3 linked regions of the Drosophila melanogaster genome follow. The protein of the gene in region 3 interacts with the protein of the main gene of each other region in a pairwise test. Each region holds a gene or a part of one and is shown on either strand. Other genes may lie near its edges.

Evidence for each region.
Region 1: the proteins of Nepl12 (region 3) and CG31522 interact in a two-hybrid assay, tested with the Drosophila melanogaster proteins (one large-scale study listed by BioGRID).
Region 2: the proteins of Nepl12 (region 3) and CG11007 interact in a two-hybrid assay, tested with the Drosophila melanogaster proteins (one large-scale study listed by BioGRID).

Annotation. Positions count from the first base shown.
Region 1 is NT_033777.3:4,457,652-4,468,523, reverse strand, and holds the start of CG31522 (uncharacterized protein), read left to right. Parts: upstream 1-5,640; 5' UTR 5,641-5,897; exon of another isoform or gene 5,898-5,904; intron 5,905-10,872. Other genes in the region: CG31523 (uncharacterized protein), read left to right, coding at 1-60, 120-310, 378-458, 518-680, 756-892, 952-1,230, 1,681-1,833.
Region 2 is NT_033778.4:19,498,564-19,508,682, forward strand, and holds CG11007 (uncharacterized protein), read left to right. Parts: upstream 1-4,504; 5' UTR 4,505-4,624; coding exon 4,625-5,440; 3' UTR 5,441-6,031; downstream 6,032-10,119. Other genes in the region: CG15120 (uncharacterized protein), read left to right, coding at 1,056-1,227, 1,338-1,487, 1,556-1,716; CG16926 (uncharacterized protein), read right to left, coding at 1,961-2,076, 2,153-2,296, 2,366-2,489; Ir56b (ionotropic receptor 56b), read left to right, coding at 9,604-10,119.
Region 3 is NT_033777.3:9,673,629-9,684,408, reverse strand, and holds Nepl12 (Neprilysin-like 12), read right to left. Parts: upstream 8,887-10,780; 5' UTR 8,858-8,886; coding exon 7,745-8,857; intron 7,686-7,744; coding exon 6,690-7,685; 3' UTR 6,631-6,689; downstream 1-6,630. Other genes in the region: CG9444 (uncharacterized protein), read left to right, coding at 426-459, 528-761, 1,243-1,471, 1,531-1,805, 1,868-2,073, 2,134-2,439, 2,498-2,887; nmdyn-D7, read right to left, coding at 2,993-3,692, 3,743-3,910, 3,969-4,135, 4,200-4,328; p23, read right to left, coding at 5,173-5,366, 5,433-5,689, 5,761-5,847, 6,323-6,339; Dhc1 (dynein heavy chain 1), read left to right, coding at 9,766-9,873, 10,613-10,750.

The sequences.
Region 1 (10,872 bases), 5.2 Mb from region 3:
TGGCAATCATACTGCAAGAAGCCCAGAAGTGGTATCGGGACCTAATGGACAATAAAAGCGGTATGTCTGAAAAAGGAGTTATTCGTTGGTCATTCCCTGAGTGCGTCTTTAATTTGCAGATCCTCGCGTTAACGACTTCTTTCTGCTATCCTCGCCACTGCCCACACTTTGTATGTGCATATTCTATGCCTACTTCAGCAAATCCCTGGGGCCCAGGCTGATGGCCAAACGGAAACCGATGGAGTTGCGATCTGTTTTAGTTGTATACAACGCGATACAAACAATATTTAGCGCGTGGATCTTTTATGAGGTAAATGACTCCTGAACGACCAACTTTATCTGGCCATCAGCTTAATCCGTATTTCCCTCCATTGCAGTACTTAATGAGCGGATGGTGGGGCCACTACAGCTTAAAGTGTCAGCCCGTTGACTATAGCACCACTGGCTTGGCCATGCGGGTAAATTGGCCCAAGGCTACTCGTGCGAAAGTAAACTAAAACTCTATTCCACCGTCTAGATGGTCAACATTTGCTGGTGGTACTACATATCTAAGTTCACCGAGTTCTTCGACACACTCTTCTTCATTCTGCGAAAAAAGAACGAGCACGTCTCCACACTACACGTCATCCATCACGGCTGCATGCCGTTCTCCGTCTGGATGGGTCTGAAGTTTGCGCCAGGTACATACATATACATATAGTAATCGCGTTTATAAGGATCGAAAATTTACAGCTCGTTAATTCTCTCGTTCACAGGCGGTCATAGCACTTTCTTTGCCCTTCTCAACTCGTTTGTGCACATTGTAATGTATTTCTACTACATGATCGCCGCCATGGGTCCAAAGTACCAGAAGTACATCTGGTGGAAGAAGTACCTGACCACCTTCCAAATGGTAGTAAAAAATGTTGCCTTCGTCGGCGAGATTTCTAAAGGATCTCCTCTGACTTGCAGGTTCAATTCGTGGCCATTTTCACCCACCAGTTCCAGCTTTTGTTCCGCGAATGTGATTACCCCAAGGGCTTCATGGTCTGGATCGGATTGCACGGCGTTATGTTCCTGTTCCTGTTCTCCGACTTTTACAAAGCGAAATATCTCAACGCAGCTCGACGTCGCCGGCAGGCGGTCAAGGCCAATGGCTATGCCAACGGCTCGGCTTCGAATGGGCACAGCAAGCATCTTGGAGAGGGTGACGCCCTGATTGCAAACGGTTGCAATACTGGGGCTTGCATGGTAGGTCTTAGTGCCACCGCACACCTAATCTGGGGCTAATTGGGGGACACAAGGTCATTCATTCCCTGAGTGATAAAAGTGGAGACTGAGCACACATATTTTCCTTACATACTCAAGGCCCTGACGCCCCGACCTCACCAAGGTGAGCGTCTGGTGCGGGAGGGGCGAGCCGTCGTGGGCTGTTATATCATCATAATTTTGTTGATCAACTTAAAATTCTAACTAGCTGAGTTAGGCAAACAGCACTTGCGAACTCTCAGCATAGGCGGGGGACGTTTCAATTAGCGCTCACATGTGAAGCCGGATGCGAAGGCCCAAGCCCAGTCCCAGCCCAATCTGCCGCCCATTAGAAAAGCACATGGGCGGCATGTTCGCTGCCAGCACACGTGCCATCGTCCAGTGGAGTCTGAACCCATTGAACTCATTGAGCACTCTGTGTTTTCTTTTCAGCCGGTGATGGAGGACGAGTACGTCAAAAGCAAGGGGCAATCGAATGGTGCCTACAAGGAGGGCTTCTTCAAGGAGGGCGTGTTATCCAACAACGATGCCATCTTCAACCCGGACAGCAGTAGTTCTAGTCTGCACCAGCGCAAAGTCAAATAACTGCTGATTAGGTGTACTACGATGATATTCATTATGTTTATGTTAAGTGATTAGCGTGTAACTGAACCAGATTGAAGAACAAGACGAGCAAGAAACTTGGCAGAAGTAGCAGAAGACGATTGGCACGACAGCAGCGAAAAATTAATAGAGCTCGGTTTATGGATTGTTTTTGATAATTTATATTTTAAATACGTACAATACATAAAATCAGTTATGGCAAAAGTCAATCGGATGCGCCGAAACTTACCGAACAAACGCCACCTATGCCCACCCACCCGAACCGTCATTAACTAAAGCTAAGTAGAAAGAGAAGCGGCAGCACAAACTAAGATATAATCAAACCATTTTTACAAACATGTCCTACGGCACCAGTATGAACGTCCCGCTTGAAGCACAAATACGCCTCTGGTGCGCAGAGAAAAGTTATTTTTTGAACGATATTTATAGAGCCATAAAGCCTGTTTAAACCAGCTACAGATACCAATTATAGTGTAGCTTACCGCATACAAACACCAACAAAGACATACATACATACATACTCACTTTAGGTGTAAAATTTTGTATGAACATTTTTGATAACAAATTGAGATGTTACGGCGGCCGAACCTATGATATATGAAAGCTATACATGCTCTCTTCAGTCTGCTCTAAACTCAAAGAAGACGTTATACTATTTGTAGCTTGTTTTGTATATTGAGAGAGAACGGCATTTTGTTGCAATACTTTGTAAAGGTCTAATAGTTAAACTTATTTATACATTGTAGCTAGCTAGCCAATTGCAAAATGCAGCACGACCCAGACCTCCCCTTGGCCTTCCTGGACAATTGTGACAACTAAACGGACGACCGGACCGAAGATCACACTATAGTCAGACAAGAAAGAGTGACAAAGATCATGGAGATAAAGCTTTTATACTGTAAGTGCAAACCGGCTTAAGGACGAAGACAATCAGTTTATTAGTTGGTTGCCGACCAATGTAAATGAATCTTAACAAAAGTTTTCAACTATTTTCGCATTGCATTGAACCTCTTTTTGGTGTGGCTCATATATATTACTTTATTACTACCTATTCAATATCCGCTTGTTTCCATTTTTGGTTTGAAGTTGTTAAACGGTTTTTCAGCGCAGTGAGAAGTATTGGTGACAAATTATTTGTAAGTGTAATTCTGTCTGTTAATCCGTGCGTATGGTTTCGTTGTTAGATTATGTGGCTTAAGCTGACAAGTTCAAAAACTATAGAAAACCTAAATAAAGCTTTTTAATTTATATTAAAACTGTTCAAGAAAATATTTCAATTGTATTAACGCATATTTTGTACGTGTGTATAACTTTCATGACGGGATTGAATCCCTGGGGCCAGTGTACAGTGTAATTGTTAATAAACGAACACATTAAGTGTATTCCCACTTATAACTGATAATTAGAGGCTTTAGAGCCTCTGAGGGTGTGGCAATTGACCCATGTGGCCTATCCCCTAATGAGATTGGACATTGTTTCAGAGAAATACAAGGCATCTTGCCAGCCACGAAAATCTAGAAATAATAAAGGCTTTAAAATAATGCCTTTACTATCAGATGCCTGTTGCTTACTTAACAAAATTTCCGAGAATGGGTCAAGTGTAATATTTTATTTACAAGTCACATATTAATTTACAAATTCTACCGAATTAATATTGCATACACCAGGCCTAACACCTGATGTGCCTTTTGAACTTTTAATAAAAAAGAACTCTTGAAATAATCGCATTAGGAATTACGCTGAGCATGAATCAAATTTCACATTTCCCACTTTATACGACCAAGTAGTGAACCAAATCATAAATATTTTATGAATTACATGAATATTCCAAATAAAACTATATTATATTTATTAAACCAATAACACTATATTATAGGATATATTTAGTGTCTCCCTCCACAAGAAAAGTCCTTTGAACTACGTCGTTGCTAAGTTTTAACTTTAATTTAAGAACTCCTTGCGACGTTTATAACTTAAACCGCAACGAGAAAGGAAGTTAGCCTTGCACCTGTAGCTTATTTGCGTCTGCAGTACTATGACGTCATTTTCAGAATTAAAGGGTATATATGTAGATTCGTTGAAAAGAAAGAAATTTAAAGCGGTTATGGTAGTCCGATCTTAGCGTAAAAGATCAAGCGATTACATACCAAGACTTTGAGAAAAGTAAAAAAAAATTTGGCTGAGCCCCACTACCAAACATATGTTAAAATTAAATTGGAACCTTTTGGGCGTCTTGTTCGTCCCTTAAAAAGCATTTTTTGAAATACTTTACCTAAGCCCATAATTTGTGCTACATGTCATTAAAAACGCGTTTGCAAATGATTATTTGCTTTTCACAATTGTTTTGTCTCAAACAACAGATTAAAATGTAATACCCATTACCCGTAGAGTCAAAGGGTAGACTATAGGTAGGCAGTTTATGTTCTTTTCTGACTCGATAAAGAACATATTACTTCATCAGGACCAATAGACCGTATAAACGTCAAGATCTCTCTTGTTTTTTTTTTTACGATGATCGTTGAACGCTCGGCTGTGCAAAAGTGCAGAAACGTACCAAACAATCGAAAAAATCAAATAACAATACAGATTGCCACTGACTTAATGTACAAATGGGCCAGTACTTAATAGACGCGTACTAATTTTTGGCAAACAAATCCGCTAACAGGCGGCGACAGCTGGGCTGTACAGGCTAATATTTAAGCCCCTCTTGACCTTGTCGGCTCTCGACTCTTGCCGCATCAGCCGGACAGGGCGCGATGTTAGCCAAGTTGACATAACTTAATGCATCATAATGCACCGGCGTATTTGGAGCTGGAGCTGCGACGGAGACTATCGGCACTTCAGGCTAGTGTTAGCGTTAGATAATAATAACTATTTCCCAGCTCACTTTGGCACGCGCCCTTTGATGCGTTGTGACCAAACACTGAACCCTGACCAATTATCAATTGTATTATTACTACCAAGTATCCGAATTTCGTTTACAAGGAATGAACTTTGGAGAATTAAAAAAACTGTTGGAAAAAAACTATTAATTCAGGCAAAAGCTGCGAGTAACGACCGCTATAAAAATAAAACCCCTATTTTCTTAAATACTATCGATTTGGAACATATAATTGTAGGATAATTAGACAATAAATCTTAAGTCACCCCATATTTTGCGAAAACTCTTTCATCATGTTCCAAGCAATTCTTAATTGTTGGTCATACGGTTGGCCCAAAGTTTCGAATAAGGCCGTATATCTGTGCGTATCCATGATTATAAGCCAGATCACCTACACGGGCAGGAATCGTACGCCTCGTAATTAACATGGATGATTTAACGCTGTGAAAGGCCAGGTATCGGGGCTGTTCGGAAGTTCACTCCATGTAATATTTACTCGCTGGCAGTGTGCGATTGCTATTGCGACGGTAGCCACACTTGAACCTTGCCTGCGCCGCTGACATCAGACAAAAAAAAACAAGGTTCGGGTTCAGATTTGGGTCTTGGGTTCGGGATCTCCGGATCTGAATCGAGTCGCATCATTCCCGGTGTCCGGGAATAGCCAAGAGCCAATCAGGCCATTTGCCATCTTCGTGCACTGCACTTGACGCTCGGCGGCGGAAAGTTTTCGCACTGCACTCGGTCGGTGCTTGCCGCTGACCGTAACGTTTCCACCGCAGCCGCTGCGCTGCCAGTGGCGTTCTTCCCTGCGCTGGCGCTCGCGGTTGCGCCTGCGCCTCCGCTTCGTCGGCGTCGCGCGATCCGCGTTTAATTAGCCGCGCGGCGCGATCGCGGCTCAGTTTTCATTCAGAAGTCAAGCGCGCGCTAATCGCAGACGCAGTCACCGATCCCGTGTGCGAAAGCCGAAAGCCAAGAGCCAAAAGCTATTGCGAAAGTAATCATTTTACAAAGTTCTTTGGCAACACTTTGTGAAATAGTTCGGGCCGCGCAATTTGTGTGTTGTGGTTTTTGCAGTTTTTAGTTTTCAGATTTCGGTTGCCAGCGATTTACCAACCGAGCTGCTGCTGGCCGCCTTCCGTTGCGGATTTCGAGCTGTTTGCAAGTGGTAAGCTGTAAGTTGTTCGCACATGTGATTTTTGTTTTTCGCTCTTTTGCAACTGCGCGGCGCTTGGTCCGTTCACAATAAGCATTTTGGACGGCGCTCTCCACGCCAAAACACCTCCCCGCTCTGGCCAATCTGCCCGGCTATAAGGCGCAGATCGTCCGAGCTAATCGATTTGACTGGCCAATCGGGCTGTTCGATCCGGTGTTTCCAATGGTGTGGCAACCCTGCCATTTGGCGGTTGCACAAAATCAGCTTGCGTGGGGCATTTGATTCCCAGCGAGGATCCGATGCTGAGGACCTCTGGAGAATCCTCGACGTGTGGTCGCAGGCGGGATTCCGGCGGGATTTAGCCCTGGCCTGACTGGCAGCGCAGCGGCAGACCACGAACAGCTGGGCGGATTTGTATGCTGTTTGAGCAGCTGTTCTGGTTTCTGGACTGTTGACTCCCAATATACCGATAGGTTTTGTTTTGCTGACCCCTCGAGATAATGCATAAGAATTAGCCAGCATCGTAAAGCTTTTCACCGTTGACATTGGGTCCAAAGTAGCAGAAGCGCAATTAGTGCGCCCTTCGCGAATAATTGCCAGAGTTTTTCTTGCACTAAAAATATACAAAATGGTAATCCAAGGCAACTCGAAACAAGTGCGGAAACGATTCGCACAAAACCGGATCTGCAATGACCCGATTTTGGCCTTGGACTTGTCGCAGGGCATCCTGATCGTGGCAAAAAGTTTCCTTGAGTGTTTCCCAGTCAGGCGAGGTGGTCGAACGAAAACCGCTTCTGGGACCGACTTTCGAGGTCTTGTGACTTACTGATCGATAATGGGATAATGGTAGTGAATGGCTCCAGATCGACGATCGCTTCCGCGTTGGCTGTAATTGGACATCATAAATTGAACCGCCCAGAAGGGCTTGCTCATTGTTCTTACCCGGACTGGAGCCACTCAGGCGCTCCTCGGCGGATGCCACTAAGGTGGCAAATACTTTCAAACAGTAAGCTGGGATTTCGCTTTCCGTATTTACATATGCAAACCATTTGGGTTTTTTTCGCGCTCACCGTTCTTCAAATGCCACGCACGTAGCCGCGTTTCCAGCGAATTTACAGGCTACACGCCAATCCCCTGAGATCGCAGATCCGAGATCTGAGGCCCGACTCTCAAGAAGCCTCAAGAAGCCTCAGCCAAAACTTACCCAAACATTAAATCGCTCAACGCTCGCCGGCGTGGCCGCAGCTCTGGCTCACACCGCTTACTCTCTACTTATAAATAATTTAAACACAAAAGTTTGTTTGTCTAGAAGAGGATCTCGCTTCCACATCGAATAGCGCAATGGGGCGTGCTAACAACTGCGATTTGCGGAAGCCAAGTGTTAGGAAAAGAGCCGTAAACGTTTACATTTACGTGAAAGTATACCTTTATATGTATACTATTGTTTGCTATTATGTTTGCTATTGAATGCATTACAAACGGTTTAAATGTATTGATAAATACAAAATAGAAGGGCATACACTTTTGTCTGACTCCCATTATATATATATATATATGCATATGCATATATATGCATATATATACTTCTACCGACCATAAAAGCCACTAACCGATAGATAGGCCGCCGCTTGAATACCAAAATGTCTTGGGCAGTTTTCGAATATTTTAAACAATTACTACATTACAGTTAAGCGCCAATAACAATACCCGTACAATTCCTGGATTAAAGCAAGATTTCGTATCTTAATCTGGTAGCAATCCAGTTTGTACAATACGAACATTTTGTATATAAACTTTATAAAAAACACCTCCAAATATGTGGGATTAAAGTGACGATGACACTTCTCAAGTCCTAAAATGGCAATTAGTTAAACTTTTTTTTAACAAATTTTGCAGACAAACACATTTTGGAAAATGTCATTCAAATCTTGTTTTATAAATACAAGAATTATAACTAGAATTGCTCCCCCTTCTTCCTAGCTAATCATCATTCAACAAGAGATTTAAATCATCAAAAGATTATTCGATCACGATATACATAAATGGCTCTGATCAGACTCTCGGTTCTCATCGTCACTACGTAAACTGCCATCCACAGCGATGTTAGGGGACTTTACTTGGGATAAGCACACGTACCTACTTATAATGTCAATTGGAAGACAGCGTTTTGCAGTGACTAATGAAAACAATTAACAGAATTTCGTCCGCCTATGTCTGCGACGTGTACGGCATTAAAAATATTCCAGAAGCAACAACACTATCAGCCACATCTCCGCACTTTAGACAGAAGATACTCACAACTTGTTCATGACACTAAAACAAGTTGAGACATCACCTAGCTTGCACTTCGGTTTGCATTACCTTAGTTCTGCTTTGAGTTTCAACTTCCCCGATTTGATTCGACAAACTGGAGTAACTAGCGTAACTAGACTTACTCTACTCTAACTAGAGTTTACAACAGCAGTCTTTGAAACCCCGGGAAATTAGTTAAATAGCTTGTCAGTAAATTGACTTAATTAGTGAGCCGAAGCGCGAACAGCAAAACGAAAAGGAGCTGCAATATGCCCAATAAGACTAACATTTAGAAGAACACCACAAATTGATCGTTATAAGAAACTTCCGTTTCAGAAATATAAGTCCAATACCATGGTTAAGTATTCCTTATGGTTTTCGAGACTAGGGTACATTCCTTATAAATTCCTAATTAATTATTATACACAATACTTGTAGGGTAGACCTGAACTTGAAATGTATTTGATAGAAAGCATATCTTCGACGCTTTATTTTCTTTTTGTTTCCGGAATTCTATTATGTTTTGATAATTTCTAAGGTAGCCGAAGACAATTTAAAAATGTATCCTTCGCAATCCTCCGTATATATGTACATATGTATGTGTATTCGAACAAAGACTAGGCAGTCGAACTAGCCAAGTTCATCTGGACTTCCTTTAGCTGGGTAATAGGTATCTGATAGTCAGGAACTCGATGAAAGTGATTACTCTTGTTTTTATAAAATGCTGAAAGCATTGTTTGTTTGGCCAAATTGTGGGAAATAAATATCAGCCAATATGGTTTAATAGAAACAAGTTAGTTAACACACTTCGTGTAAATGCAATTCAAGCAAGATCAATAGAAAATGTTTAGAATGTGCTTACACCTCGTTACACTTAGCAAACAGGTTGGGAACTTAATGCTAGAATTGATTGAAATCGATTGATTTCAGGCTTTCCGTAGCTACCTTAGTAGAGTCAACAGCTTTTCACATGGTAATTATTTCCGCGTGGAATTGCAGTCGCGTTGCATGCAAATAATTCGGAATGAATTAATTAGGCGAAATTCAAGTTGTCCCGGAAGCAAACAGGCAATAGGGCGGAAAAGGCCGATCCAGCGAGTAGCATTGAGATCGGGCTTTGCCTTGACATGGCGAAAATATGAGTGATCAGACCTGCCCAAATTACTGACTAATATGTCCAAAACAAAAGGCAATTGTACTCGGATACGACGCATTTGCGCTGCTCGTTTTAATGAACATTTTTCGCGCCAGCGCGGTTACTTTACTCGCAATAAATCTGTCAACAAAGCACTGACTTCTCACTCGAGGATTTTGACATTGAAGATGAAGACGCCGACGCCAAAGGCGATGGCGTTGAAGACCCCGCCAAGCGGCGCCGATTGAGCTGTCGAGCAGCTCCGAAATGGTGCCCCCTCCCCATACCGCCACTCCCAGTTCCGACCATTGTCTTGGCCGAGGGCCAGCTCCATTCCGGCCAATCTCGAGAGCCTGTAATCGCTCATTTGCGGTTTATGCGCCGCGAGATGAGCACACGCACATGTGGAAGTGTGGAAGTGGCTATATGGGCCGAAACTAGTGTGAGTTTCAACAGAGATTAGTGGCTATTAGCAGAGTTACCTTGGAGTGGACAAGCTGGGAAATGTGCCCCAGAGGAGGCCTTGAGCTCGCGCCGGCTTAGTCGCGTTTTATGGGACATCGGAAGAGGGTATTAGGTTCTTTTCGACAGCCGATTGGTGGTTGGTCTTACAGGTGTCATGGGGTGATTCCCGCCCAGTAATGCCGATAATAGCACTCGGTAATTAGCTGCGGAATGCTACTATGGAATTACGAAGTTAGATGCGATCCCAAGAGGAGGCCTTCAGGTAGCGAATGTTAAGCCGTTTTATTGCCAATAAAGCAGTAGATTCTCAGGCTCTGTGGGCGACAAAGTCGCCGTTGGCGATTGGTGATGATATACCTGCGGAGTGCAGGTGTCAGGCGGTTCCTTCCTAATTCACGCCCATCATCGGGTAATTGCCTGGTGAGTGCCATCATGAAACTGCATTTTACGGCTACTCGAATAATTAAAGCCCCCGCCCCCATGTTTAACTGCTGATTATTCACAGTTCGGCCCTCCTTCCGCAGTCGCAGTGGGGCCAAAGTGCACTTCAGCCAGACCCTTTGCTCCGCCCCCAAGTTGAGCATCGAATATTTGACTTACGGAGGCTTGCGCTCGAAGTCGGATGTTGGACGCTAATCCAATATTTTGTTTGGAAGGCTCGAGTGGTCCGGCCCAACGTGGACCGTTGATCTTTGGAGCAAGGTAAACTTTGCTTGCTCGCTATGGGCTTCCAGAGGTAAACAAGCTACAAATTGCGCCAAGCGCGGCCACCGGCGAAAACAACTTTCGATTACATTCTTACACTCTCAGAGTTAGAGGCCAAAACCAGAAATAAATACTTCATCCCAATCAGTCGGCGAATGCCCTCAACAGCCCTCTCGAAACGCTGGTTGGGGCTTATTGGCTTTGCTGGGTGTGTTTGCGGCAAATAATGGGGCTTGGAAGCTGTGATAGCACAGGTGTACAGCTCCCGATCTGGGGAAATAGCAGAAGATCATGTCAGCCAAGCCGAGACACACGATTCCCGTGCGAGCTCCCACCTGGGTGTGTGCAGCAATGGACCTGAGAAAAGGGCAAAGAAGCCACCTCCGACAT
Region 2 (10,119 bases), on a different chromosome or scaffold from region 3:
CTATACAAATGTGAGTCAATGCAAATAAAAATCAAATGAAATTGCACGACTGTCACTAGAAAGGGGTAACCTTACCACTCGGTGACCCATAGACAAAGCCCATATTTGAATTTAGCTCGAGTTTCGTACACCTGCGTGTCCAATTATTTCAAGTGTTGCAGGTGAAAGCAAAAACCGAGTAAATAATATGCCATTGTCTATTTCCGGAGTTAGTAGAGCTCCACGGCTGACGGGCAAGCGATTCCGTCCGGAATGCGACTACTGACATTCAAAACGTCGCACCGTCCAACTGTCAGTCAATTTCCCATGGAACTCCGCTGCAATCGGAAAGTTATGTGTAACCAATTCCCACCCACCTCGCATGAGTGTGTGTGTGACCCCTTTGGCTGGTTCAATGTCACAGACCTTGGATGGCACTCCATATTCGATGTGGAGTCCACATATGCGGCGTATGTCATTTGGGTGGTGCGTTTGTTTATCTAGGCCGAAATGCCGTCGTGACAGGAGAGTGATATGTGAGTGACACTGCCTGATTTACGTCACGGGGTCGAAGGTCGATGTTGGGGAAACCCATATGTGAGGCTCACGCAGCTGCGATGCCAGCGATGTCGCCTTTGACTTAAATATAAAGTTGCTGTCTTCTTAAAATCAAAGTAAAATTCCTATTCTGAGTCATTCAGTCATATATGCAATACAATCTGGTTAAGATAGTGGGTTATATTATAACCCTTTGTTAGCTCAAATCAACTAAGCTAAGCTGGTAACTATACTCAAAGCAGACTCTCGAACAAAGATTAGTCTAGACTTAGCACTGCAAAGTCTATAGGCAGGTACAGGCCCATTTCTCGATGTGTTCTAAAAATTTTCCACTGACAACGTAAGCAAACAAAGAGCATCTTAATGGAAATCAGCTAGGGCGCCTAACCGGCATGGCGTGCAAATGTACACTTGCAAGACTTGCGCCACCGCCGGTACACGAACCAATTTCGAACTTGGAGCGGCTCTATTCACCTTTGACCCGCCAACGGTGTCACCTCTTCCCGTATCTCGCCTAGGTGGACATTGAAAAGCTGGACTACAGCCTCTATCTGCCGCTCTTCTTCGACGGACTGGCGGAGACGAAACATCCCTACAAGACCTATGCCCGCCAGGGGGTCACGGATCTCCTCTTGGCCGGGGGCGAGAAGATACACCCGGTGATACCGCAATTAATATTGCCGCTGAAGAGTGAGTACCAGGGCATTGGCTGGCACGCAAATGCCTCGAAGTTTTTCGGTCTAATTTGCACCTTGCCAATGCGAGCACAAAACCAAAACCAAATACGCCCCCATTTGCAGACGCATTGAGCACACGAAACCTGGAGGTAATGTGCACGACATTGAAGATAATCCAACAGCTGGTCATGTCCTCGGATTTGGTGGGACCCGCCCTGGTGCCCTTCTACCGCCAGTTGCTGCCCATGTTCAATGCATTTAAGGTGAAAAACTGTAGGTATTCCACTAAACTCGATTACTTCCAGTAACTTCCATTGAAGTGGATATTCTGTGCTGTATAGTAAACTGCGGCGATGAGATCGACTATGCCCAGAAGAACAATCTGAATCTGGGGGATCTGATCGATGAGACGCTGCAGGTGCTGGAACTGCATGGCGGCGAGGATGCCTTCATCAACATCAAGTACATGGTGCCGACCTACGAGTCCTGCTATTTAAATTAAACTACGCCTCATGGTCTTGTCCCTTTACATACAATATCATAAGTATTTATTGAATTTTACAAAACATTACAGCATTAAATAGATATTTGTTACCAAAGTGTTATGTGCGTTTAAATCGATATATGCTTGAGATTATAGTTGTGTATATATAATATATAATTGATTTTGACCAACATCCTGGTGGGGATGCTAGTCGCGTTTGGGGCACGTCAGCTGGAAGCGAACGTGGCCCCACTTTAGGTCATCACTTGGTGGGGGCGTACTCGTTCTTCTTCACATTGTGGGGGGAATAGCGATTGTACAATCCCCAGATGGAGTTCATCAGCTTGTCGTTGTACTTGTTGGGCGAGTACTCGCGTTCTGGAAATGCAAAATTGATGCGTATGAGCTCCATTGACCCAGCGGATCGAGATCGTGGATCGTCATGTGCACTTACGGGTTAGGGCGTTCCCGTTGTCAACGGAACCCTTATCTGCGGCAGCGGACCTCAGACGGGCGATGATCAGCTCACGTTCGTTGAATTGCTCGCGAATCTTGCAGGCTGCGAATGCACCTTGTGGAATGGCGGCCATCTTAACAACTGGAGGCGGAGGAGGAGCATCAAAAGTTAGTTATACATTGTAAATACATGGCTAAAATCACCACCCACCACTTAGGGAAATAACGCTCAGAAGGGAGATGATGAAGTCAAAGTTTCGCAATGGGCTTGTATTCCAGCACTCGGTGAAATGCTGATCGAGATTGATGATTTTTCCGCACTGCTGCAGCAGCATTCAAAGGCCAAACTGAAAGTCCGGAAAAAGTTTGTGGGATAGGGGATATTTCGCTTAGATCGAAATGTGTCCCAGTTTCTTTGGTTTTTGTTTTTTATCACAATTTCAACTATGAATCAGATTAGGCCAATTGGAATGGTTAGCTTTGCACGATGGATTTGGCATTTGATGCCTGTCGTTTTTTCTGGGATTTGCTCGATTGTCTGCGATTGTCTATGTCTGCTACTCGGAGATGAACACTCAGCACAAGGGTTCGGATTTAAACTGAAGACGTCGCCTGGCTGGGAATGGAATTTATAGAACGCGTGTTCGGATCGGATCGGTTCGGCTCGGAGCTGCCGCCAAGTGATAAGCGGGAGACAGGAGATCAGGCTGCCTTGATAGCGCGATTATAAAGCCGGCAAGTGATCGCCATTTTGTGCCACTTATCAGTTGCAGTTGTCATTGTTTTGGTTTTGCCTTTTTTTTTGTCATTTCCACACACAAGCCTATTTGTTTCCAAGCTCTACGGGAAGTTTCGATGGGGCTGGGAAGTAGATTTGTGTACTTGATATGGCTATCAGAGCCCTGGATCTATAGACCAGTTTTGCTTTTTAGCCGCAGCCAAGATGAAGGGCTCTCGTTCCCATCACGAGTGTCCCTGTACTCAAATGGCTGACAATCTTACGAGACTTTATTCCAAACCAGATTAATCCGGCTGCCAACACACTATAGCATGCTGGCAAAGGCATTTGTGATTATAATATTATTAAAAACTGACCTAAGTGCACGTTGTTTACTGAAATTTTCACTTCATTTTTGTTTTGGCGCAGACAAGGTGCAAAAGCATCAACACCTTAGATTTGACTTTGATTAGTCATGATCTCGGATTTTCGAAATATTTTCTGTATTGATTCCCTATTTCATTTCTATCAAGTTGTACAAAACAGTGCACTTGAAAAAATCTTATTTTGTTTTAAGTTAATTGTTTTTAATATATTATTACCAAAGACACTAGAATTCTTATTCTATTGTCTTATTCTAGTGTCTTTGTTAATACTTTTTTTACTATAAAGTGAATGATTGGTTGAATTTAAATATAAAGCCACGAGAAAGTTGTTTGATTCGATAAGGAGGTTACTAATAACACAGTTGAAAATATTCTATAAATAGAAGCAAGCTCACTTTATTTGCCAGTGTATTGAACATAAAATAATCGCTGTATAAACAAAGAACGGCCTACTAGTGAAACCAGTAAAGAGGTGGGTGATCGATCCGATGGGGATCATGGAGATGACCCTCGTAAATTGGTCTCAATAATACGATTAAAAATAAATCGTTTAGTCCAGTGACGCGCACAGTGTTTACTACAAAAAAATTAATCTTTGCACAACGCGGAGAGTCAGCCACGATGGCGATAATACTGGTGATGCTCTATGAAGTGGGTACAAAATTCTCACAGTATTCACACAGTTCCAAACACATTTAATTTAGGAACTACAAAAAAAAAGGCCAAAATAATATTTGGGTGATAAGGCGACTGATGGAAGCCACGAGCGTCTGAGATCACGTAGAGAGCCAAGCTTTTTCGCAGATTTGAACTCGGCGTGTGTGCCGATAATGAAGATCCTCGATGCCTTTTTTTTACCTTTTTTTTGCAGTGGCCTTTGTGTGCTAGGTCAACAATCTCTCAATGACTTTAGCAAAATGCTGATGTAACAATAACTCGCTTATCAGTTTCGGTTGGTTTTCGGGCAAACAAATATGGTTGTCCCAAGTTCTGTTTATGGTTTTAACTTTTGATTAATTATCATTTAAAAAAAATGCTAAATACTAAATACTAAATACTTGTAAGATAATAATGCATATAAGTAAATAAAACGTATCAAAGAACGTTTAAGAAAGGCAAACTGTTAATTGATGATTTTGAATTTGAAAAGGCGCCAACGAACTAATACCATTTCCAGCACTGACAAGAGTGCCACTGTTCTTTTATCAGGTGGCAACGCCCGTGCCAGACAACTAGGCTGCTAATTTCTAGTCAACGGCGAGGCTAAAATTAACAATTGGCTGTCAAAAGCAAGAAAAGAAAAACTCGGGAAATTGTTAATTAAAATCGTGACCCAGATCAGCGCATTCAGCCCCCGGACGCAGAGATGACGTGGAAGAAGCAGATGGCTCTGCTGGCCAAGCCATACTACTGGGTTAACATACTCCTGGCCATATCGTACCTTTTGGCCAAAAAGACGCAGTTCATCTGCACCCGCCTATTTATTCTCGCCGGAGAGGATGAAGCATGCGACCTGGACAGTCGTGAGGTGGAAATCTTGTTCTTCCTGCTAATCGTGGTGATGATACGGTCACGCAAAACGGGCAGTGTCACCATGATTAACTACTTGGCCTCGTCGTTCCTCTACACCAAAGTGGCCAACGCCATTTTGTGGGCCTACGCGGACTTCCGCTACGGCCTGGGCTTTCTGCTTCTATGCGTCCTGGTGGGCATGGTGCTGCCGGAGCCCTCGTATCGCGGACCCGAGCACATCACCTACTTCCGCAACGCACAGGTCTTCGAGGAGGAATTGGCCAGGGACAAGCGAACCAGCTGGCTGATCTGCTTCTACACGGTGTGGAATCCCAGCTGCGTGAACTTCGCCCCCGTTTTTGCTGAGCTCTCCGCCGAGTACAACACGGACCACCTGAAGTTCGGCAAGATTGACATTGGACGCTTTCCGGACGTGGCCCAAAAGTATCGCATCTCGGACAGCAGCTTCTCCCGACAGCTACCAACTGTGATCCTGTTCCAACAGGGCAAGGAGACGGACCGCAGGCCCTGCGTCGATTCCAAGGGTAAACTGCAAAAGTTCTTCTTCTCCAGCGACAATGTGCGCGCCACCTTTGGCCTTAACCAGCTGTACAAGGAGGCCATCGAACGACTACCCATTGCGCCCAAGGAGGCCAAGAAGGTCCAGTAGGCTGTCCTGTCCACCACTGGTGCCATCTCATTTCTGCGTGCACGTGCTAATAACTGTTATTCGTTTAGTTCATAGTTTATTTTAACTTATTGAGGAGCTGCCACCGCCAAAGACACGTACAATTGCACTAATATTTGCATTCTAAACTCAGACGTGCTCTCGTCGCGATGCCATTGTAGAAAATATTTGTATGATCTTGCATTTGCATAAATTGTAGCTAATCACCAGGTACCAAATATATTTAAAAATGTGAAATGAGTCAACGAAAATACGCAGTTCTTTTTTAATTCCCAGCCGAGTCTAACATTTCATTCAATTAGCACAGCTCAAACGATCATTTCCGGTGCTCGTTTAAGAACAAGTAAATATTAAGATGGACTGGACAAGCGTAAATTGAAAGAATGTAATAAAGAACTTACGCTGTATACAAATAGCTAGTAAAATAGTGAAAATATAGAGAATGAATATATAGTTTCAGAAAGGTGCCCATACTGGTTTTCGGTACAAATGTATATAAAGTGTTTGTGACAACCCACAATTTTATGACATATTTATTGTATTTTATACGTTCTGACTTGCCGCTTAAAACAGAAACCTTCGTCGTATCCCCCCGGTTTATGAAATATAAAACCAAATGGGCCCGTTGTTGCTGCCAATGTGTTGAGCAAAATTGTATGGCAATGCAAATGGCACAACAAAAATGTTTCCGGCGTGTTGCGTTCTGTTCCGAAATGGCCCCGCAGACATCGGCCATATAGACAGATCGTATATGGATATATATATATATATATACATAAGAACCCAACAGGCCAGACGCAGAACGAAATAAACGCAAATCCCTTTTATCCATTCAATATGAACACACATACGTATAGAGAAACGGACGAATTTAAATGCATAAATACAGGCGACTGCACACCAATCACCACCCACCGCACACCGCCCACAACCACCCCCCACAGATGTGAGCAAGGCCTTTGTGGTTAATATTTGTATTTTTCTTTACTTTCATTGAAACGGCATGAAAATGGCCATTGCATTTTACGTGAATTGTATATGGTAAATAATGCGATTGTCTCACACGGCCGTTTTATTTGCGGAAAATTTAAATTCGCCATGGCAATTGGGACAAGATTCACACCGTCCTGAAGTAATTATGGGCCACTCTGTATCGCCCCAACTCAGCACCCGCAACAACCCAGACCAGTTGCCCCACACCCATTCCCACCAACCAGTAATGATTTCCAAAGGCTGTCACCCGCTTCTCACGACGAGAAATCCAATAAGCACTTGCTCCGCAGCGGCAACAAAACGCATTGTTGTCGCTATTTTCACGTTGATTTCCCTTATTGCCACGGGAAAACCGGTGCTGGCCACATTCAATTGATTTTGAGTGATTTTTTGGCAAGTACCCTGTACGTACACCGAACATGGAATCTTATTTAAGGGGAATATTGGTAAAAATAAGTAATAGGTATGTACGTTATTTTAAGGCTTTTGCTTTGAAAGAAAGATATCATTTAAAGTATATTCCAAATATTTTAAAGGATATTTTAAATGGTGATATGTAAGAAAATCATAGAATATATTTTCTTTTTATTTTTATTCCTTCCTATTTCATTTTACTGTGTATTGTTACGTCTGCTCCGTTTCGGTGGCAGTATTTTTATTGCGTTTTTATGTCAACACCAGCTGGCAGCGTCTTAATATCCTTCGGTCGAAGTGCTGGATTGGGTTCTTGTATATTTCTGTCAATTGCTCACAATTAAATTAAAATTCAAGTCAAAGCCAGCCGCCATTCAGTTTGCAGAAAAAGCCGCAAGTCAGGACAATTGAAGCCAAGCTCAGGTGCTTTTCCTTACTATTTAAAGTGTGGCGCTTAAAAGAGATTAAATAAATCAATTTGGTTTGAAATATCCTTGGGAGATATATTGCCCAAGAGATTTAGTATTTTATTTTTAAGTTACAATTGCCTATTTTATAGAGCTGATTTCTGAGGTAGATATTGGCTCGTTGAAGAACAAAACAACGATTCATAAAATAAAATCTATCTTAAACTCTTTCAATAAATGAAAGACAATGGGAATTTAAAATAAATTGTTACATTTCACATGCAAGTTGGCTAAAGGATTTTGTAAACTCCTTAAACAAGCGGTTAAACTCCTTAGTCCGATCTGATAAATACTTTTCGGATTAAAACACCTTTTGGTTAAAAAAATGGCCCAAATAGTGCACAGTAAAGTGTAATTTGTGCCTTGATTTCTTAGTTTATAAAATTAGGATCACACCAAAAAAAAAAGTAGATCCTTCTCCGTGACAATGCATATTGCAGCATTGCCGTGACCAGGATTCGAACCTGGGTTACCACGGCCACAACGTGGGGTCCTAACCACTAGACGATCACGGCTATGAAGGCACTTGAATTTACGAGCGTCAATCGCGTTCATAAGTAGCTATAGTATATGTGTGGCTAAGACTAAAGCTTAAGCTGGCGCTATTTGCCTGCATTTCTTTGCTCGAAAACAACTCGTTTGTGGAGCAACTACCGCCTCTAATCGCAGCAATACCCAGACCAGCAACAACCGCAGCAGTGAAAGTCCAAAGCACTCGAGCAAGACAGACAAAAGCCACAAAACCGACAAACCGTCAGCCGATAAACAAGATTTTGGCTCATAAATTAATTGGAATTTGCCAAGCCAGCACAAGTGGGCTTGCTGGGGGGCCAGAAAGTGGGCGTGTTGCTGGGCTTAGCGTTTCGATTGAATTCGGTTTGCTATCCGCATCGTTTTGCTGTTCGCAGGGTCGAAAATCCGGATGGTGGGTAAACGTTCCCAAAATAAACCACATACGAATAAATTTAGAACGCTACGAAGGAATTCATAAAGTTGTATATCTCTAGGTATTTAAAATATTTAGTTATTTGCTTTAGCAGTGCTAATGAATAATAGCAATTTGCTGACATTTTCAGGTAAGTTTTCACTACTTATTCTGAATCAGATTTTAACTATAACTTATATATGTTTCGTTTGACGAAGTTTCTTATCTAAAACTCACCCCATAGTGATAAGAACATACTACTCTTATCAGGCCAAAGACTAAATATTATATATTATGATCAATTAAGCAGATTGCAGATAATAAATATGCAACTGAAAAAAAATATGCCAGAAACACCATTTCATGTCGACACTTTTTTGTGTGCAAACACGAAAAGTCCATAGAATATCATAGCTACTGGCATTCATTAATTTCGCCATAAATAAAAATGTTTGCAAAATTGATGTCTGTATTCATCTATAACAGGGGATTAATACTTTGTTGCACCCTTGCGCTTCAATTAATTAATATAAAAGTCAGACATTTCGCTGGAAACAAGTACAAATATGAATATACGCGAACTTTTGCTTTCATAAAACCATGAACAGGTTTGGATTGCCGGCAACCAAAGCTCGCCAATTTGAACTTGTACAATCCAGTTTCATTATATTTTGAATTTAACGATAATGTAATTACCCTCAAGTGCAGAATTATTTCAATGGCAGTTTTGTTTTTATTCTGGCCCACTTGTAAAACACAGGTGAGTGTGTGTGTGTGTGGGTGTGGTGGAAATCGTCGTCGTTTTGTGCCGTCGAAACCCTAAAAAATTGAAAAGTATTTACACGAAAGCTGCCAATTCAAATACACATTCCCACACTCGCCAAGTCCTTATACAAATATTTTTTTGTGAATTTCGTGGCCTGTTTTTTGATTATAGAAAAAACTGGACGCTTTTTGTGAGCGGTGAAAGTACTTGCGCTCCAATAACTACACAAAGGTTGTGATGTGGGTTGGTCCGTTGGGAATCCGTAACAAAGTCCAGTTCGCATTCGCGAAAATATTTTTTTATAAGTGGCATATTACTTTCTAGGGTGTCCTTTTTATCGATGTGTTGGTTAGTTAGCGGGCTTTGGAATCTGAACGATAATCGGCAGGACACAAAAACGTGTCATTAAACATCTGAGATCTTTGAACTTTGCACTAAAATAAACCGGATTTCGTATACTATAACCATTCACGTGGGTGCCAGTTGGTCTGCCAATGCCAGTTTTTTGCGTGTGGCATCAATAATATGACAGCCATATAAAATGTGGCCAGGAGCACGCCAATCCGTAGTCGGCCATAAAATGCTGCTTGACACGGACCTGGCCAGTGGAGTGATCCGCTCGCCATATAGTTTTGACATCCCCCACGCGTTTATCTTCAACGAAACGCAGTTTGTGGTGCCCAAGTTCTGTGGTCCCTACATGGAGATAGTCAAGCACTTCGCTGAGGTGTACCACTACCAGCTGTTTCTTGATTCTCTCGAGAGTTTGCCCAAGAAATCGGTGGTGGAACAGGACATTATTAGCGGCAAGTACAACCTCTCGCTCCATGGGGTTATCATTCGGCCAGAGGAAACCAGTGACTTCTTCAACGCCACGCAGCATAGTTATCCGCTGGAGCTGATGACGAACTGCGTTATGGTACCCCTGGCTCCCGAGCTGCCCAAGTGGATGTACATGGTGTGGCCGCTGGGCAAGTACATCTGGACATGCCTCTTCCTCGGCACCTTCTATGTCGCGCTCCTGCTGAGATATGTGCACTGGCGGGAGCCGGGGAATGCCACCCGATCATACACCAGGAATGTGCTTCACGCTATG
Region 3 (10,780 bases):
GAGCCGAGTCCCGTGACTATGTTTGCCTCACCAAGCGTGGCTTGTTCTTATCAGTAGGCTGTGACAGATAACCTGTGTCGTTGGCGTTAACTCCCTAGTTTTAAGACCGCGGTCCATCGTAACTGCATCGAGCAGCATCGTGTCGTGACTGCCCTTTATCTCATTGTTTGTTCTGTCGGAGAAGAGACTTTTTAGTAGCTCTTGGACCGCCCCGAGCAGCGGTCGTCAGTCGCGGCACAAATCCGACGTCCAAAACAATACAGCTTGTTGTGGCACACCAAACGCGAACGCTTACGACCCACAAAAGCCGCAGCTCTGTAACCCGATCCAGTCTGAAGCGCTTTCAAGTCAACAACTGGCCTAGGTCTCTGCTCCCTCTCCGGTTCAGTTGGTCTACGTCGGATTAGGCGTGCAGGCTGTTGAAAATGTTTCGCGCTACGGAAATCGGCAGCGAAGAAAGTGAGTCTGCAGCTAGATAAGATAAGACAAGAAGCGCAGGTAATCCTCTCTCTCCCTATTACATGTAGCCCTGCCAGCTCTGGCGGAGCTCAGCCAGGTGGGTTATGAACGCGATGCACGGGACGTGGAGTGGGTCGCCTGGAGAGGAGAACGGGCCCAATTGAAGCTGGCGCATCGCAGCTCCCTGCCCAATTATGGATTTGCTCCACCGACCATCCGCATGAAGTATAGGTATCCACGAGCCGTCTTCTTCGTTCTGGCCACAAAATTTTTTGAGGCCTTTGCTGCCAACGGCATTCGCAGTAAGTTTCCAGATTTCCATCCAAAAGCAGATAATCGATTTTTGGTCAGGTCAAAGGCATTCGTCGGCAAAGTCTGGTTGAAAAATTCCGAAACCAGGCTTATCAGCGGCACAGAAATATAAACACAAGGAGGTCTTATTGACAGTCAAAAGACCTGTGATGGTGCATAATATAAGAGGCATAGATAAGATGAAAATTTAGGTTGCAATTGGCAAATAATGGGCAGGAACAAGACCTAGCATTTAGTTACTTAAAAAGAAAATCTTCAAAAATAAGATAACTGACTCAAGATTATTATTATTGTTAATTAAAACTCCTGGAATTTTCCCATTGATGTGAATCTTAAAAAGAACATCCATCATTAAAGAGATGGCTTAACGAATTTCCAATTAAGTCTCAATGCTACAACCTTTATTTCATGGTCAATAATTCGAGATTGACTGCAGCCTGACCCACGATTACGATGTATACTCGATTCCAGCCGTACTCGCACTCTATCTGCGCGACGATCTCAACTTCACGGAGAGCTTTTCCACGGTGGTGCTGCACATCTTCAACTTTTTTGGCCAGTTCTGTCCGATCATTGGGGCGATCCTAGCGGATAGCTACATCGGCAATGTGCGCACGATATCCGGCTTCAGTTTTATCTACGCCTTTGGATGGTTACTCCTCACACTGACATCCCTGCCTGCCATGGGTCTTCCGATGGTGTAAGTACTCGCAACGGATTAGGATGAAGGATTTAGCTTATTCCACTTGCGACTCGTAGCTTGCTGGTGTCCATCGCTCTGCTGTTTATCGCCGTTGGCAATGGATCGATACGAGCCTGCATCACCTCGCTGGGCGCACTGCAGTTCAAGCTGCCGGAGCAGAGCGTCCATCTGGCCGAGTACTTCTCCTTCTACTATTTCGTCTACTATTTTGGAATATTCCTGAGCAAGATCCTTCCGCCGCTGGTTAGAGCTAACACGCAGTGCTTTGACAAGGCGGAATGCTATCCAGCCGTATTCGGCACCCTTGGCGCAGCCTTTATGATGGCCTGGTGTAAGTAACTATCAGTTTTCATAGCTTATTTCTATTTAATTTACGCATGCTTGTGGTATTAGTTATCTTTCTGGTTGGAAAATGGTTCTACAAGTCCGAAAAGCTGTCCGATGACAACATACTCTTCAAGTTCTGCGGCTGCATAAAGACCGCTCTCGTGGAGAAGTGGCGACGTCGCAAGTCGACAAAGCGCTCCAACTACTGGCTACACAATGCAGTTGTAGCCTACGACATGGGTTTCGTCAATGATGTGTCCAGAGTTTTGAGGGTCAGTTATACTTGTGTTATAATGAAGATTCTTTCAACTTCATAATTTCGTTTCTTTTAGATATCCAAGCTGTTTATCCCACTGCCCTTCTACTTTGCTCTGCTGGCGCAACAGGATTCCAGCTGGACATTCCAGGCCACCCAGATGAATACCACATTAATGGGCGTGACCATCCAGCCGGATCAGGCCAAGGCCGTGGGACCCATCTTTCTGTTCATGCTCATCCCTCTATGGCAGTATATAACAGTGCCCTTGCTGCGCCGCTACTTCAACTGGGAGCTCCAGCCGCTCCATAGTGTGACTGTGGGTGGGATCTTCTCCGCCGGCGCCTTTTTCTGTGCAGGAGCCTTGCAGGAACGAATAAAGGTAAGCAGGAATAATAAGATACCTCACCTGATCGTTTATTAACCCGAAATATTCGAAGAATTCCCCGCCCCAAACAGTGAATATAGCTTGGCAACTGCCCCAGTTCCTGCTGCTCATGATGGGCGAATTACTGCTTTCCATTCCGGGTCTCCAGTTCGCCTTCACCCAAGCACCGACCTCTATGAAGTCGGTGGTCACGGCAGCCTGGTTTCTAAATAATGCTTTCGGCAATCTGATCGTGGTTCTGGTCACCGAGCTGGGTATGCTTAGCTCACAGATGGCCGAGTACTTCTTCTATGCGGTGGTAATGCTAGTTTGCATCATCCTCTATGCCCTTTTGGCCTTCGATTACACTCTGCAGGAGCGCAAGGCCGGAATGTATGTGAGGATGGACAGTGAAGCGGAGGACCGGGATGTGCCCAGCACCAGCCGCAGCGGGAGCATATAGGAGAAGTTTCTACGGTCTAGTATTTTCATTGCACTTGTAATTTATTGATAAACGCACACAGGCAAACATGCATTTAACTGAAAACAAATAAAAACTAAACTAAGATCAGTCGATTATCTTGAACATATACTGCAGCTCCAGGTTGGAGTCATCTGGCAGATCAGTGCAGTGGACGGCGTTCTGCACCTTGGACTTGCCGAACTTGGCGCGCAGCGTGTGAGGCCGCAACAGTTTGGCGATCTCCGGATCCATGGGTCCACAGAAGTTGCGGAACTCGCGATCAGTTTTCTTTTCGGGATCGGCGCAAGCAATCTCCATGCACATGCATACTCCACTGGCCAACTGAGCAACCATGGGTATATACTCGGGCACCACTCCGCGGTAGACTTCGTAGAACTCCTCGCAGTTGATTCGGGCCATTAGAATCATGCGCATGGCTGTCAACCGAAAGCCATTCGACAGGATTTCGGAAATGATGTCTCCCAGGAGACCATCCTTGATGCTGTGCGGCTTAATGATGGCAAGTGTTGTATTCTTGAATACACATTCTTTAATTATGCTGTGCCTCGCCTCAGATATGAACTTTAGGTCCATTTCCACGTCGTTGTCGTTATCAGAGTAGTAAAATCCATAACGAATCTCCTCACTTTCAAACAGCTCTTCCAAACTGGGCGACAGTTTCACACTGGGTGTTTCCGCCTCTGTGCTCTTGTACTGGGCGCAGGCCTTGATGGTCTCCACTACGTTGTCGCCGATTAGCTCCAGACTAATGGCCGGACCAGCCAGCAGCTCGTTCATAAGGACTCTGGAATTTAGAGGATAAGATGTGTTCCTTGGCATGCCATCTTTACTCACGAAGAGGAGACATCCGTCGTGTCCTTGCCGGACAGAAACTGAGTTACCATTTTGGGAGAGAACTGAACCATCATGCCCTGGTTTATGTTAATCTTGTTGTCGATCAGAGTCTTTAGGAACTTGCCCAGGTGCTTCGTCCACATATTGTTCTTGAGCAAAACGAATCCCCTGAAAGAGATGGGAATTACAGATTAGCGAGTGGATAGCTGTCGATGAAGGAACATACTTCTTGCGATATTTGGCTAGGTTTGTCCGCGTAGTGTCGTCAGCATAATCCACAATGTCAAACTGCCGGCCAAAGACATTGATCTTGGAGCCCACAAAGAAGTCGCGCTGGGTCAGCTCCGGGATCTTGGTGCGTCGCAGAAATGTGCGCTTGTTGCGCTGGTCGAACTGAGGGAAAACATGGCCTTGGTTAAATGTGTTTCTTTGAAGAACTTGTGCTACCAATCCTCACCACTTCCACGGCCTTGTCGGATACATAGTAGGTGATCAGAAAGGTGCGTATGATTCCAGCCTCTGCATGGAACCACTCGGCCACGAAGGCCAGACGCCGCTCGCTAGCCGGAATCGCAGCGGGTTTCATGGTATCGTTTTGAGGGGAATCTTATACCTTGCTTTTCCGTTCTATCGCTTGACAGCAAGTCCTTTATTTCGAGTGATAACTGTTTGTTTGCTTTGCATTTCAATTGTGCTTCTTCTTTCCCGCGTTGTCACAGCAACAGTGTTGCCAACATAACAAAATTCATTTAAGTGGGCGCAAAATTTAAAGAAAAAAATACCTATGTTAATTTTAAACCCAAATTCTAGGGGATTACCCATAAACAATTTTTAACCATTACCTATAATTTCTTTTTAAAATCGCTATCTATTCAAAGATAAAGCCTTCTTTGCGACATCTTTAAGAAGCTGGACTGCGCATTCCGAATTTAACAGTTTAGAGATTTCTAGAACATTTATAGAATGTTGTAAACTTATAAAATATTGAAAATAAAAAGCCGAATATAAGTTTTTCATTTTTTTTATTGTTAATTTCCTTTATTTACAGGAAACAAAAATAATAAACTGCAAACTGATTTTTGCAATAAATTGGTTGTAGCTTTCCTCTGGTTGTTAAATTCTAGCGTAAAACTTATGGTTTCCCTTGTCGGCGCCAAATCATCTTGTTCCTTGTGTTGCTTTTTGTTAACATCTCTCCTCTGAATACGCATAATATTCAGGTATATTAAATGTGGTTTTCTTCGATTGGAATAGTGTTTCATGTACGCATGCGTTTGTGGATGTTTTATGAGTGATTGAGTGTTTCTTCTTTTTCTTTTCTGGTGTGTATGTGAGGAGTGAGTGTTGTGATCGTGTGCTGACTTATGGTATAAGAGCCACGCCTAACGCTACGACTACGCCAAATTGCGAGACACCATCTGAGCGACCGTCTAGGCAGCTGGCTTCTTCTCCTTATCACCCTCGCCGCCCTCCTCGTCATCCTCGTCGTTCTGGGACAGACTTGGGATGTTGTCATCCGAGTCCTCCTCCTCGTCATCGACGTTGAAATCGTCGAACTTGTTGTTCCAATCGCCACCAGGGCTGTTAAGGAAATTTCCAAACATGCTGTTGTCTTTTTGGTCACCTGCAAAGTGCGTTTGTATGAGTGGGTTTGCTGGATGAGATCTTGGGGATGAGGATGTCAACTTACCCTCCTCGTCGTCGGACTCATCGCGCCACTTGGCAAAGTTGGCTTTTAGGAAATGCAACTTGGTCTTGTCCGTGGTCAGCGAGGACCAGTAGGGACCGGCCGCCTTCTTGGGTATTGTGAATTCCAGGCAGCGGCCAATGTTCTTGCTGGTCACCTTCTCGGGATCCACCTCGTGGAGGAAGTTCAGTGTGACCTCGTACTTCTTCGACGGATCCAGCACGTTTACGCCCTTGAAGGTGAAGGTTTTTTCCGTAACTCTGTTTTGGGATAAATATATGGAATTAGGATGTGCAAGGAGCATGGACATACTACATATGGGGGCATATACTTGTGTTCGATGTCCTTGCATTCGACATCGATGATGACGTAGATCAAGTCATTGCGCTGGGCCCAGGAAACTGGAGGCGGAATCAAGCTGCAATGGAGGATCAAGTTGGATAAACATAAATAAGAGCTTCATGTCGTTGTGCGAGATCCGTTGCCATGGCAACTCGCGTCGGACTTTCTGGAAGCGGGTGCACGAACTATGTAAATAGCTTCCCAGCTAGCTAGATTTGCATAAACCATAAGCCCAGGCAAAAGTCCATGCCGAAAATGCACGGCATTACCGCCAGCCGAAAACATAACCTCAAACACTGGACCCTCCGATTAGTTCCACAAATATCGCAATGCAGATGCGCACAGGACACGCCCACCGTGGACACAAACGCTTGGCCAGGCGGATGAGCGCGAGAATAAGGGTCATCCGAACGAAAATTATGTGTTTTTCACGGCCGGGAGTTCGAAAATGGACGCCGCCGCAACGACAAAGCACGCGACGCACAAAGAAGCCACAAAAAGATGGTCCGGCTATCGCCGATTGGCACTGAGATGGCCGGTTGTGGACTCACCCTGCTGCTGCCGACATTATGTTGTTGCTGTGAATTGTTGGTTTATGTTTTACGAAGTCGGAACACTTCTGACTGACAGCCTGACTTGGTTACAAAAAAAGGCAGTTTCTGTTGAACAAAATTGTCATGCACAAAATTGACATGAGAAACAGAGTTACCGAGCGCGCTGCGGAGATGTGACTAAATTTGAACGGTGCTCTGGGGTGCGAAACTTCGATAGTTGTACTCAAACCACAAATGTTAGCTTGTTACGTGTAACGTAAATTTGAAGTGTTGTGTCAAAACATTTTACATTGTCGGTAAAAAGTATTGAAATCAACTTTTATTTGGTTCAAGGAATTTATGATGATGATTATAAATCTATGATCTACCAAAGTCGGCACGTTTTGGCGCCAGGACGCATGCCGCTGCCCACGGAGCAGTTGTAGGCGTGGAAGAAGTCCTCGCTGTTGGACAAAACTCCCAGGACACGAAATTGGTCGAAGGTGTGCACATCGCTAAGACCTTTCCAGTAGTGCTCCTCCTCGTAATGGGAGCAAAATAGCTGGGCAAATCCCAGGAAGAACAACTGTTCCGGCGTGAGATCGAGACCCGGCATGGCGTCGCTTATCCTCTCCTGCCCAGGATGCTCCAGCAGTTGCTGCCTGTGACTGCGATAGGCCGTCAATGCTTGTCTTAATCCGCTATTGTCTGCGATATTCTCGTCCAGTGTAGTTTTTCCGTTGACACGCCTGCTGATCTCCGGTACCTGGTACTTGCCATAGTAGTCCATGTAGCACTCGGCGCGATCCTCTAATGCCTGTTGCGAAATTTCCGACAACAAGGACTCCATGTGACCATTGCCATCGAAATAGGAGCTGGTCGTATCGAAGCCGTGGATGAGTTCATGACCAACGATAAAACCCAATGTGCCGAATTTCAGGGAAATCGGCAGGTGGCGTTGGTATATCGGTGGTTCCACCACGCCAGCCATCACATTAATGGAGTTGTCCGGAGTGTAGTAGCCCGCTCCAACCTGCAATCCTGTCAGGATCTTCTGTGGCTTGGTGTCATTGGTCAGCTCCTGAAAATGCCGACTGCTAAATCGATTGATTTGTACAACTAGGTGCTGCAAATTAATGTTGGTCTCCGCATAGCGATCCTCGATGACTTTCAGACTGTTGATTTCCCGGATTATTCGATCCGAAAGTGCATCATCTTGGAACGAACCAATGCGTGGCTGTATTCTGGACTCCTTAAGCAGTGCCCTCGCCCTGCTCTCCGCATCCAGCCAATCGGCATCCTCCAGCGCCTTTCGCAGACTCTTTCGCAGTTCCCGCACCATTTCCGACATCTCCAGCCTCTTCGCCTCACTGAAGTTGTTCTGTAACACAAGAGTGTTGAGATTATTTGGTATTCTCATCATACGCATTCGTTACCCACAGCCATGTAGAGTTTGTTGAACAGAAACCGCATGGATTGATAAAGCGTAACCGAACAGTAGTTCCTTTGGTACCTGGGCGCCTTCAGTTTGGGATCGAATCTATAGAGCAGCTTCATGGCCAGGTAGTTGGCCACAGCCTTGCGATGTCGGGCGCATACTTTGTCCAGTTCAACGTAGTAAAAGTCGCAGAATAATTTGTTAGTGGAGTGGAGTCCACTCCACGAGATGTTATAGTAGTACTCCGATTGGGGAAACACTCGCTTAATTCGGTAGGGATCAAACACTTCGCACTGGGGCGGGATCTCGAGTGCGTCCCGCCAGAAGGCAAAGACCCCAGCGATGGCCTCCCTAATCCTGTCCTCCGGCAAGCCGAACGCCCTCAGATATCCGTGCATTCGCTCTTCGTTCAGGCGAAAGGCGCGTGTGGTATTTCTGGAAATGTTTTCCTCATGTACGATGATGTGATCGAAGCCCAGTTCGGGCAGTTTGGTGTAGGGCTCAAAGGGATACCTTAACTGGAGAGTTTCGCGGATCAGACCGTTGGCGCCATAGTTGGCCAGATGAGCACTCATGTTGATCCAGTTAAAGTTTGAGGCTTTCCAGGCGTCTCCATCCACAGCGGGAAATCCTCCAATCGATCGAATTAGACTCAAGTAAGCGGGATCCGCCGCATTGAAAGGATGGAGATTTGCTCCCAGACAAGCGTTGTAGAATCGCTGGGCCACCGCCAGTTCGCTGGATACGTTTAGAGCCTCCGCCAGATCCATTCTGCCCAGCAGTTGCTCCGTGATGTCGATCAGTGTGTAAGTCACGTCGCCCAGGTTGCTTCTACTGCCCGGTGAGTACCGATCCGGCTTTACGTTCCGATAATTTCCACAGGCATACTCGTAGAAATTCTCGCAGGGCTCTACACTTTGGTTCATATAGGATTTCATGAATTCCGCGTATTCCTGCAGTTGGTACTCTGCCGCGGATCTATTGGTCGAGCTACCATTGCTATCGGAATTTTCGGACCTGTCCACAAGGCTCCTGGCCTCGCAATCCGTCAGAACCGCAGCCACAATGACCCACAGCAGCATCAGGGAGATCAGCTTCAGTGATTCATGAAACATATGCGTATTTTATGGGAACACTTCTCAATTGGAACTTATAAAACACACTGATTTAAATCGCGAACGAAAACTGGCAGAATCCCAATAAAATCAAGAGAGCAATAATACAGAGATATAAAAAACCCTTATCAGTAGAATGTGCAACGGATTGTTGATAAGGAAGCGAGTAAGTTTTTGTTTACAATCTGTATACAAATAAGAGATATTTATTGATATTTAGTATTTACATTTTGCAAATTTAATTCCTGTTATCTGCAACGAAAGTGAAAGGAAGTGAATATCGGGTGAATAACAACAGCGGAGTAACAGGTGGTTAACAGATGATAATAATACTGTTGACTTGGTATTTTGATATTTTAACATCTTAGCTATGTTGCCTTGGTAACATGGAGTTTGTTTACAATGTTTGTTGGTTTGGTGGTTAACAGGTGTATCCATTTAGTTAACAGGTGGATAACAGGTAGTTAACAGGTGGATAAAGGGTGGATAACAGGTGGTTTACAGGCGGATAACGGGTGGAATATGAAATTCCATTGACAAAACATGTCAGTTCTGTTGTCGTGGTAACGTGGTGCCAATTTCCGAATTTTTGGTTTACATGTCATCAACAGGTGGCTAGTTAGTTGCTAATAATATCGTCGATCGACGAAACTTCTCAGATCTGTTGCCCTGGTAACATTAAGCTTTATTCAACTTTCAATTACTGTTGCCTTGGCTACTGGGAGCGTATTTCGAGTGTTTATTCGATAGGATTTTCATCTTATTCAAATCCACAGAGGCAAAAAGTTGTGCAACGCGCAGACAAAAATCGAAAAACGCAGTAAATCTATAATGATTTTTGAATAGAGAGAAATTCCGAGTATCTTTGATTTTTGGTGAATTTGCTTTTTGCTTAGAGTTTCGGCGAGATGTTCGTGCAAAAGAAAAAGTTGGTGGAGCATGTTCTGGCCATGCGAGCCGAAGGGGGCAGTAGTGATGATGATGATGAGGAGGAGGACCAGGGCGACATTTTGCAGGTGCAAATCCCGAATCACTAATTACTAGACGTATTGAGTGCTAGTCGTGCTAATTAACCCATATAATCCTATGTTGTTGCCTTAGATTATAAATACAAAAGTAACCTAGATTTTCCTAGAAGCCCTTTGACTGATTACGTAATCGCATAACCTGCAAGTTGCGAGTGTAAATTGCTCGTAGTTGAGGCTCTACCCATGTAATATCTTTCTAATACACCAATCTTCATTTCTTTTTAGCTGAGTAACCCAAAATCCACATAGATGCAACTGTAAAGAACTTCACTTCCGTTGCTGCAAAAAGATAACCTAGTAAAATGTTACGAAATCACCTTTCAACTTATACTGTATAGCATTTAGAGGTCACTACTTTTGATTTTTGCATTACTTCTGGTATTTTATTATCATGCTATATGGGTAATGTTGTTGTAGATTTTTGAATGTAGTATCGAACTTTTACTAAGTTTACTATGTGCCATTTTTGAAACTAACGAACTCTTGGTCTCTTTCGTTTTTGAATTTTGAAAACCGAACATTTTGTAAACACCAAATTGTTTTACGAACTGAAATCAACAATACCTTTTTTTGTACAACCAAAAACATTACCACCACTACGCACTGCAAAATATTGATCGTTAAACTATTTTCTGGAAACCAAACGGTTTCACGAATGTCTGACCTGACAACACGGATTCGAATATAACGAATAAACTTTTGAAAAATGGACCCTGACGAAGCGCAGCGGCGGCGCGAGGAATGCGAGCGAAAGGCCCGACGTGGGGAGATGGATCCCCGGCTGGAGTTCACCTTCCAGCTCCTGATCGATGCCACCCAGCTGCCCAGGCATCAGCTCATGGACTACATATTCGAAGGGGACATGGTAGGCGCGTCACTTGCCACATGGTATCAT